2 linked regions of the Ovis aries genome follow. Each later gene encodes a partner of the first gene's protein in a complex. Links are inferred from orthologs where the notes say so. Each region holds a gene or a part of one and is shown on either strand. Other genes may lie near its edges.

Region 1 (4,132 bases):
TGAAGGTTAAGTTCTCAACCTTGTTTCAAGGTCGTCGGTATTGCCCACAAATGGTTGGTTCAAGGTTTTCTGAAATGATGTTGCCCCCCTTATTGATCACCTCTTGGGATTTTATATTTTAATGACCATGATTCCTATTGTTCAAGCTTGGAGAGGTACAAGGACCCGAGGCTCTAGGTCAGATTACAGGACTGCTAATTAAGGTTAGCCATTGCAGCTGGCGCGATCTGTCAGACAGAGGGCCAGGTCAAGGGGAGCTTGGATCCACTGTGGCCTGAGGATAGTACTCCGACCTGGACAGGCAAGGGTGGGAGAATTCCAGGGCGGAGCCCCCTTTGGGAATGGGGACATGGGGGAGGTCAAACGCCTGGAGGGGGCGATCGCACACGCAAGGCGAAGACTCCAGGCTCCTGAGGTTGGCAAAGGAAAGCTCAGACTAGACGGAAGAAGGGGGCTTTCAGCCACACCTTAAAGGCCAGAAACCTCAGCACCAAAGGGCATTCAACCGCCGGCGGTATTTTTGGCCGCTGCTTCGGGCTCAGTCATGGCCCCCCAGACACCAGCGTAGAGCAGGGGAGTGTAGGCTGCAGGTGCCTCTAGGACGCCTCTGTGGCGCGCTCGCAGACCAGACCTTCCCAGCCAGACCTCCGAGAGGCAGTCCCAAATCATCGTGCAGGTGCTACAGGAAGCGCTCGGCGAAGCGACCGTGGCCACTGCGTGTGCCAGCACGCCTTGCTCGTTCCTTCAGCCGCTGTCCCCCAGAGCTCAGGTCCAGGCGGTCGCGGGGCAGCCAGCGCGGCGGAGGGCCGGGGGCGCGGGTGTGCGTGTGCTGGGAAGGCGGCCTTCCCCGCGGCCGCCGCAGCGCCAGCGCCTCCCCTCCCCCGGTGCGCACGGCTCGTCCGGGTCCCCGGAGGCGGCCCGAGCCGCCGCGGAGCAGCCTCGCCTTCGCCTCCCGCGTTTCCTGCAGCTCGCCCTCCCCCGGCCGGGCTCCAGGGGCTGCTGCCGAACGGCTCGCGGCGGGAGAGCAGCTCAGAGCGCGCACGGGGGCGGGCGGAGGCGGCCTGGTTCGGGGCGGCCGCGCCGGAGAGAGGCGCGCGCGGAGACGCCGGCCCCCCTCTTCGCGTTTGCTCGCTTGCTCCCCGCCTCCCGCACTCTGCTCGCTCCCACCCCTTCCCGGCGTGATTGATCCGTCACGGGCGCCGCCGCTGCCGCTGTCGCTGCCGCCGCGGCCGTTCTGTGCCTAGCCGGAGCCTGAGCCCGAGCCGGAGCGGGGATCGGCGCCATTGCGCGGGCGCCGCGGGGAGATCTTGGCGCGGGGCGGCGGGCCGGGCCAGGCCATGCGGGCCGAGTGAGCCGGCGCCCGCAGCCCGCGGCGCGGCATGGCTTCCCCGCCTAGCTCCGGGCAGCCCGGGCCGCCGCCGCCGCCGCCACCGCCGCCCGCGCGCCTGCTGCTGCTCCTGCTGCTGCCGCTGCTGCTGCCGCTCGCGCCCGGGGCCTGGGGCTGGGCGCGGGGTGCCCCCCGGCCGCCGCCCAGCAGCCCGCCGCTCTCCATCATGGGCCTCATGCCGCTCACCAAGGAGGTGGCCAAGGGCAGTATCGGGCGCGGCGTGCTCCCCGCGGTGGAACTGGCCATCGAGCAGATCCGCAACGAGTCGCTCCTGCGCCCCTACTTCCTCGACCTGCGACTCTACGACACCGAGGTGAGTGTCCGGCTGCCCGCGCCGTCGGGGCTGTGGGGGGAATGGGGCAGGACGTGTTGGACAGAAGCAAGCTTCGGCCCTTGGGCAGAGCCTTCATTGAGGCTGCCGAGGGCACCTCAGGCTGGGGCTCAGTGCTTACCCTCTGGGTCCCGCCGGGCTTGGCTCGCACAGCTGGTGCCAAGATTTGCTGAGCATCTTTCCCCTCTGGGATTGTGTCTGTGTGTATGCTTGTGGGATGTGGGATAGAAAACTAGGGTCTCCTTTGCCCAGAGAAAGAGGTGGTAACTGAACCTGCCGAAAGGCCTGCAGTGGTCACCCCTGCCCAAGTCCCGCTGGTGGGGCTGTGGAGTGCTAGGTGGGAAGAACAGGCGCAATGACCATAAACTGGGCCATCAAGGGCTGGAGAGGCCACGGGCCTGCTCGCGGGCCTCAGAAAAGCCGAGCTGAGCTTTTGAGGTCCAGAGGGCTCGGGGACCCAGGGGCTGGAGCGCGCATCAGGGCTGGGCGCCTGGTGCGCGCCAGCAGCTTGGAACCCGCACCGGTCCGGCCGGTGTGGGGCCGCCGGCTCTGCAGCGCTGCTTGCTGCCTGCAGGTGCCTGGCCCTGCCTGTGGCCCTAGCGGTTTCCTGAGGAGACCCCTTCCGGTTAGTTGCTCAGAGTGTCCCGAGCAGGTCTCGCCCCGGACGCGCGAGTGTGCGGCCGCGCCGCTGCTGGTGGCCGGGCGGCTGCCGGCGCAGTTTCCCGGGGCGCAGACTTGAAGCAGGACTTGGAGCGCAAGTCGGCTTGCCTTCCCGGCCTCTTTCTCTGAGGGGAGCAGAAGAGCCGAGAGATTTCCGTCCTAAGCCCCCTCCTTACACCCTCAGCTTGCATTCCAGCTGTAGCAACAGCGCACATCTCCGCCGGCCCGAGAACTAGGGTGCGCCGAGGGGGCTCAGAGGAGCAATCGCTGGCCGCTTGAGGTCGGGTTTGCGAGTTTTTCCAGACTGAGCGAGCTCCTACGCTCCGGCCACAGCGGCTGAGACGCGGCCTGAAGGGGGCAGTGATTTCCTGTGCAGAACGCTCGGTTGGCGCCTCTTCCACCGCGCCAAGCCGGGCCAAGGCAATGGGCTTAATTGACCCGGCTTCCTGGGGTCCCTGGACACTTCTGCTCGAGTCCTGGTGTAGAAGGGGAGGGGAGGGTCGTCGTGCCACGCTGATGGGGCACCCTAGGCTCCACTTCCTTCTCTGTGTGACCCCCGCCCCCCGCCGCTTTTGGGTCCCCGGAAAAAGCAGGAATCTGGATTGCATCTTATTTCCCGCCTCCCCCCTTCACGGATGAACCAGTCTGCTCTGCGATGTAAATAAAAGGTGAAGGAACGGGTGGCAGTTGGTGGCGGTGCCCGGAGGTTGCTGCAAGCGGAGAGGCTTCCTTTGCCCTGGGAGGATGTAAGCTGGGAACTGTGCAGAGCCAGCCCCTGTGGAATCATCTCTGAATGACATTCCTGTCTTCTCCAGAACATTTCAAGTTCTCTGGGGGTACTTGTCCGACACACATAAACAGAGAGGGCAATGCAATTATACCGAGCCATGTCTTCTGGGTACTGTTTCTCTGTTGCTCAATCTTTTTTTTTTTTCTTTGAAAAGGACACAGGAGAGCGGGTTCTTTGGAGACAAAACCATTTATGGACAGGGCAGCCCTGTTTGCATCATCACCAAATATTGTCAGCTGCATCATGTTTTCACCAATTTATTCCATTCAGAAAGCTTCCCTGAAAGAGACGTCATATTAACTTGTTAGTGGCAGCAAAGGGAAGGGTGCTCAATTTCAGGACGTGGGTTGATGCTTTTATATTGTATTTTCAAGTGTGTCTTGATGACTTTCTGAGTGAGAGGGGGCCTAAAGTCAAGAGGATGAGACAGTCAGAAGGCACTTGAGCTCGAGGGAAGGAGGGCAGAGGGTAATCTCAGCCTCATGCGAGCAGAGGCATTTCTAGCCATTTGAAGGGGCACAGGGCATGGGCTTTGGGATGGCTCTGACCTGAGTCTGGTCAGAAACCTAGCATCTTCCCCGTGGGTGACCTTGAGCAAGGGATTTAATCTCTGTAAGCCTAGATTTCCACTTCTGAAAACCTGGGACTGTTATACGTACTCCGTTGGATGGTATTGTGACGCTTAAGGGAGATAACTGGCCGGAATGGAAAATGCCTTGAGCTGGCAGCACAGCGGCCAGTCCTCTGGCATGCTGTAAGCGCTCAATAAATGTTTCCTGCCTTCCTTTCCTTTCTTGCTTTCCCTTTCCTCTGTCCTAGATTCACAAGTAAGACACTGCAACTTTAGATTTGGTAAAATGGTCACCACTAAAATGTTAAGTTTGCTTATTTGTTTTTCCTCATCTCATGAAGAGTCAGTGAAGTTATCACCAGAAAAAAAGAATCTTGGCTTAGAATCAGATAA
Region 2 (4,118 bases), on another chromosome or scaffold:
ATCAAATAACAAGCGCATCCTTGATTGGTCCAGCATTAAAATCCCAATGATTGAGGCCAGAGTAGGTTAATACATTAGTTAAAGAAACAAAGTTAAATATAATCAGATATTGGAGTGTTAGCTAATACTCTGAATGTGTTCAGTAACCTGATTCTTATTGAAAGAAAAGAGTGTTAGATCAGAAATTATTTTATGCTACTGCTGAGTCTATCTTCATGCTAATTCTTGGGGCAAGAGCTGGCAATAAACCCATGTATCCCATAAAATGTATCTAATTCACACATTTCTCTCCAGTTTTGGTTTTAATCTTTTAAAAATAGCAGTTGTTTGGAATGGAGTGTGCCCCGCATATATTATTCATGGATGAAGTACTACATTCTCATTAGGAATGTGAGTCCTAAGACATTGGTGTTTGAAAGGGGAAATGGCTGACTTACTGTAAGCTGTTGCCTGGGCCATTATTGACTGGCAGGATCAACTGGAAGCACTTTGTTAGTGGATTAGGTTGCCCTGGAAATGCCTTCCTGAAACTCTAATGATGCACTTAAGGGAACCCTCTGGGACAGGAGTAAAATGTCTCTTTGCAGGCGTGTCTTCCACTAGAGTCCTCTTGGGATAAGATGGGAGGGGGCGGGGGCACATCCAGAGGGAAGCTTCGTAAGGAAACAGACCCAGAAAAAAGTTGCAGGTAACGATGTCTTACATGGAAGCCAAGATAATGACTTACTGATAGAAACCTTGTTTTTTCCTGAGGGTACCAGTTCTTCCTATAGTCTTGAGAAGGAGCATCAGTAATTCCAGAGAGACTGAAGGTATGGATGTATATATTCATCATTTATTTATTTGCTGGGGTGAGGGTGGCAGAGGAATGGAGAGAAAGAAACAAAAAAAACAAAAACAGGAGAGGGCATCTGAGAGAATATGGCTTAGTTCTCTTGGGGGGAAAAAAACCACTTTGTAGCTTGAACATTGGGGTCACTGGGTACGCTTTTTTTTTTCCTTTTAAACAAGCTTTAGAGGGGTAATTTGCCCTTCAGCAGAAATTTAGTGCACACTCAAAAGAATTGTTTGTTGGTTTTTTAAAAATGAAAAACCGCCGTGTTCATCTGGGTTGAGGGGTTGTTTCTGGGGCATGGTGGTGGCTGTGGAGGTCTAGAGACAGCACGAAAGGGCAAAGCAAAGGCCCTTGGAAACTCCAGACTCCGGGACAGGACCAGGAGGGAAGCGACTGCGTCGCGCTCCGTCCCCGCCCCGAGCCCGGAGCGCCCGGGGGACTCGCGTGCCCACGGCCGGAGCGCGGCGTCCCCGTGCCGTCCCGGCGACCTGCCACCGAGGCGGACGTGACTCGGAGCTGCCTCCGCTCTCTCCAAGCCATATTCCTTTAAGATGATGTAATAGTCATTTCCCTGGATGGTTTCTTGCCTGCACTGCTGAAACAACAGCATCCGAACTGCACTGGGAACTGTGGAACCACCCAGCTCCTCCGCCGGAGAAGCCCGAGCCCGAGCCCCGCGCCGGCATCTCTACGCCGCGGCGGCCGCCCGCTCCCACCTGGCTGGGAACATGGGAGCCCGCTTGCCCTTGCCGGCAGGTGGGGTGGCTACCTGGGACCCCAGCAGGGAGCATCTGTCTTGCTTCTGGGCTTTCTGAAAAGCTTCCAAGTCCCGGTACCTCTTGCAACTCTCTTTTGTTTTAAGGATTCTTTCCAAAGGTTTGATTTTTTTTTTTTTTTTCCTTCCTGGAGAAGCTTTGAATATTTTTCTCTGCTTTGCTTCTTCAATCCAACCACCTCTAGTCACGGTTTAACTTTTTTGTGACTTGTTTTAACTTGAGATTGGAAGTGAATATATACATACATATACGCAAATATACATTTATATAAATATTTATATATATAATTATTATTTTCTAAGAGCACATCTCTCTGGCACTTTTCATTGATACCTCTGTATTTTACCTGTTTGGGATTTTGACAAGCTCCAGACTCTGTGTGTGGCTGGGGATTTGGACAGCTTTGCAAATGGGTATTTCTTCACAAGAACTGTTTCCAGCACTCACTGAGGTAAGTTCCAGGGCTTATTGCTTTTCCTCTCCAGCTGAGGAAAGAAAATAAATCTCCTTTTAGAAGTTGAAAATTGCATATTCATTTTTAATGCAGAAATCAAATAGAAATGTTTTTAATACTAAATGCTGGAGACAGAGGGATATAGATAAATATGTAGACACGAAATACCTTGAAAGAAGCTATGATTTAGTTGAAGAATGGCTGAAATCAGTAATTCCAGGGCTGCTTATGTAAAATAATCTCTCCCTCCCTCCCTTTCAGTTTCCCTCCCTCCTTCTACCTCCCTCTCCTCTCTCCAGCAGTCTCTTTTTTTCTGACTCATGCTGTGTTTGAGGAAATAATTTTCTCTCTTTTCCTGCAGACAGACCTCTCAGTAACTGAGGACCTGACCGGCCTTGCCTACTGAGCTTGGGGGAAAACTGGATGCAGATGAGTTGATTATATTCCATGAAGTCATAGCTCACCACCTGCCAGGGTTTAAACTACTTCTGTAGCATCACTTCACCTGTGGACTCTTTGAAATTTTGCTTTGTTGGGGGAAAAAAAAACTGGGGTAAGAGGAGGTTGTTTTTAACAAGTTAACATCCTCTCCCTCCCTTATAAGTTGCTGCAAAGGATCAGGCTGTGACTCCATTGGATCGCTCCTTCACATCAAAATAGGAGAAGAGAAAGAAGAAAGGGACCATGGCTCTGAGTGGCAACTGTAGTCGTTATTATGCTCGAGAACAAGGGGCTGCAGTTCCCAACTCCTTCCCTGAGGTCGTGGAGCTGAATGTTGGGGGTCAAGTTTATTTCACTCGCCATTCCACATTAATAAGCATCCCTCATTCCCTCCTGTGGAAAATGTTTTCCCCAAAGAGAGACACAGCTAACGACCTAGCCAAGGACTCCAAGGGAAGGTTTTTCATTGACAGAGATGGATTCTTGTTCCGTTATATTCTGGACTATCTCAGGGACAGGCAGGTGGTCCTGCCTGATCACTTTCCAGAAAGGGGAAGACTGAAAAGAGAAGCTGAGTACTTCCAGCTCCCAGACTTGGTCAAACTCCTGACCCCCGATGAAATCAAGCAAAGCCCAGATGAATTCTGCCACAGTGACTTTGAAGATGCCTCCCAAGGAAGTGACACGAGAATCTGCCCCCCTTCCTCGTTGCTCCCTGCTGACCGCAAGTGGGGTTTTATTACTGTGGGTTACAGGGGGTCCTGCACCATGGGCAGAGAGGGGCAGGCGGATGCCAAGTTTAGGAGAGTTCCCCGGATTTTGGTTTGTGGAAGGATTTCCTTGGCGAAGGAGGTCTTTGGAGAAACTTTGAATGAGAGCAGAGACCCTGACCGAGCCCCAGAAAGATACACATCCAGATTTTATCTCAAATTCAGGCATCTGGAAAGGGCTTTTGATATGTTGTCAGAATGTGGATTCCACATGGTGGCCTGTAACTCCTCAGTGACAGCATCTTTCGTCAACCAATATACAGATGACAAGATCTGGTCAAGTTACACCGAGTACGTCTTCTACCGTAAGTACAGAGTGTTCTTGTTGTTTTCCATGTGTATGGATTTGTTTAATAGATATATATGTATATATGGTCTGCGTGTTCAGTCTATGTCTAAGGAATGCTGTTTGGGATTTTTATTTTATTTTTTTAACTCTTGAGGTATAGCTAGAAGATTAGAGGTTATAATCAGCTTTCATGTTTTACCTAAGGTAACTTTTGTTTTCCCAATCAACTCACAGGCTATTTAAAGGCCTCAAAATGACAGTATACAAATGATATTGGTATAGATAATATGTGAAATGAAAATAGATATGTGTGTCTGTCAGATATTGAACTGTGAAGATAAGGCAATGATGAGAACTTGGCTGTTGGGTCATGGGAGTTCGGTAGGCTCAGAGTGGCTGAAGTGCTGCTGACTGTTGTCTTATCTGAACTTTGGAGTCTATTAAGCTGGTTTCTGAAGACTGGCTTTCATCAGGGACGTTGAAAGCAAAATGGATGTTGCACTGAATGACGTGATCTTGGCTAGATGGCAGTACAGACTGATGAAAGACCCCT

What was found. The genes of interacting proteins can lie anywhere in the genome.
Region 2: the proteins of GABBR2 (region 1) and KCTD16 are in contact, whole or in part, in a crystal structure (PDB 6M8R), measured with the Homo sapiens proteins. The link is inferred for Ovis aries from reciprocal best matches to the Homo sapiens genes GABBR2 and KCTD16. Residues at the interface, in NP_005449.5 of Homo sapiens: Ile882, Asn883, Ile888, Gln889, Arg891, Leu892, Ser893, Leu894, Gln895, Leu896, Pro897, Ile898, Leu899; in NP_001357415.1 of Homo sapiens: Asn30, Gly32, Gly33, Gln34, Val35, Tyr36, Asp64, Leu65, Ala66, Lys67, Asp68, Ser69, Arg72, Phe74, Gly79, Phe80, Arg83.

Annotation. Positions count from the first base shown.
Region 1 is NC_056055.1:49,126,080-49,130,211, forward strand, and holds the start of GABBR2 (gamma-aminobutyric acid type B receptor subunit 2), read left to right. Parts: upstream 1-1,332; 5' UTR 1,333-1,379; coding exon 1,380-1,700; intron 1,701-4,132. UniProt on the Homo sapiens protein: Component of a heterodimeric G-protein coupled receptor for GABA, formed by GABBR1 and GABBR2. Within the heterodimeric GABA receptor, only GABBR1 seems to bind agonists, while GABBR2 mediates coupling to G proteins.
Region 2 is NC_056058.1:52,974,041-52,978,158, forward strand, and holds the start of KCTD16 (BTB/POZ domain-containing protein KCTD16), read left to right. Parts: upstream 1-1,309; 5' UTR 1,310-2,062; intron 2,063-2,426; 5' UTR 2,427-2,749; coding exon 2,750-3,581; intron 3,582-4,118. UniProt on the Homo sapiens protein: Auxiliary subunit of GABA-B receptors that determine the pharmacology and kinetics of the receptor response. Increases agonist potency and markedly alter the G-protein signaling of the receptors by accelerating onset and promoting desensitization.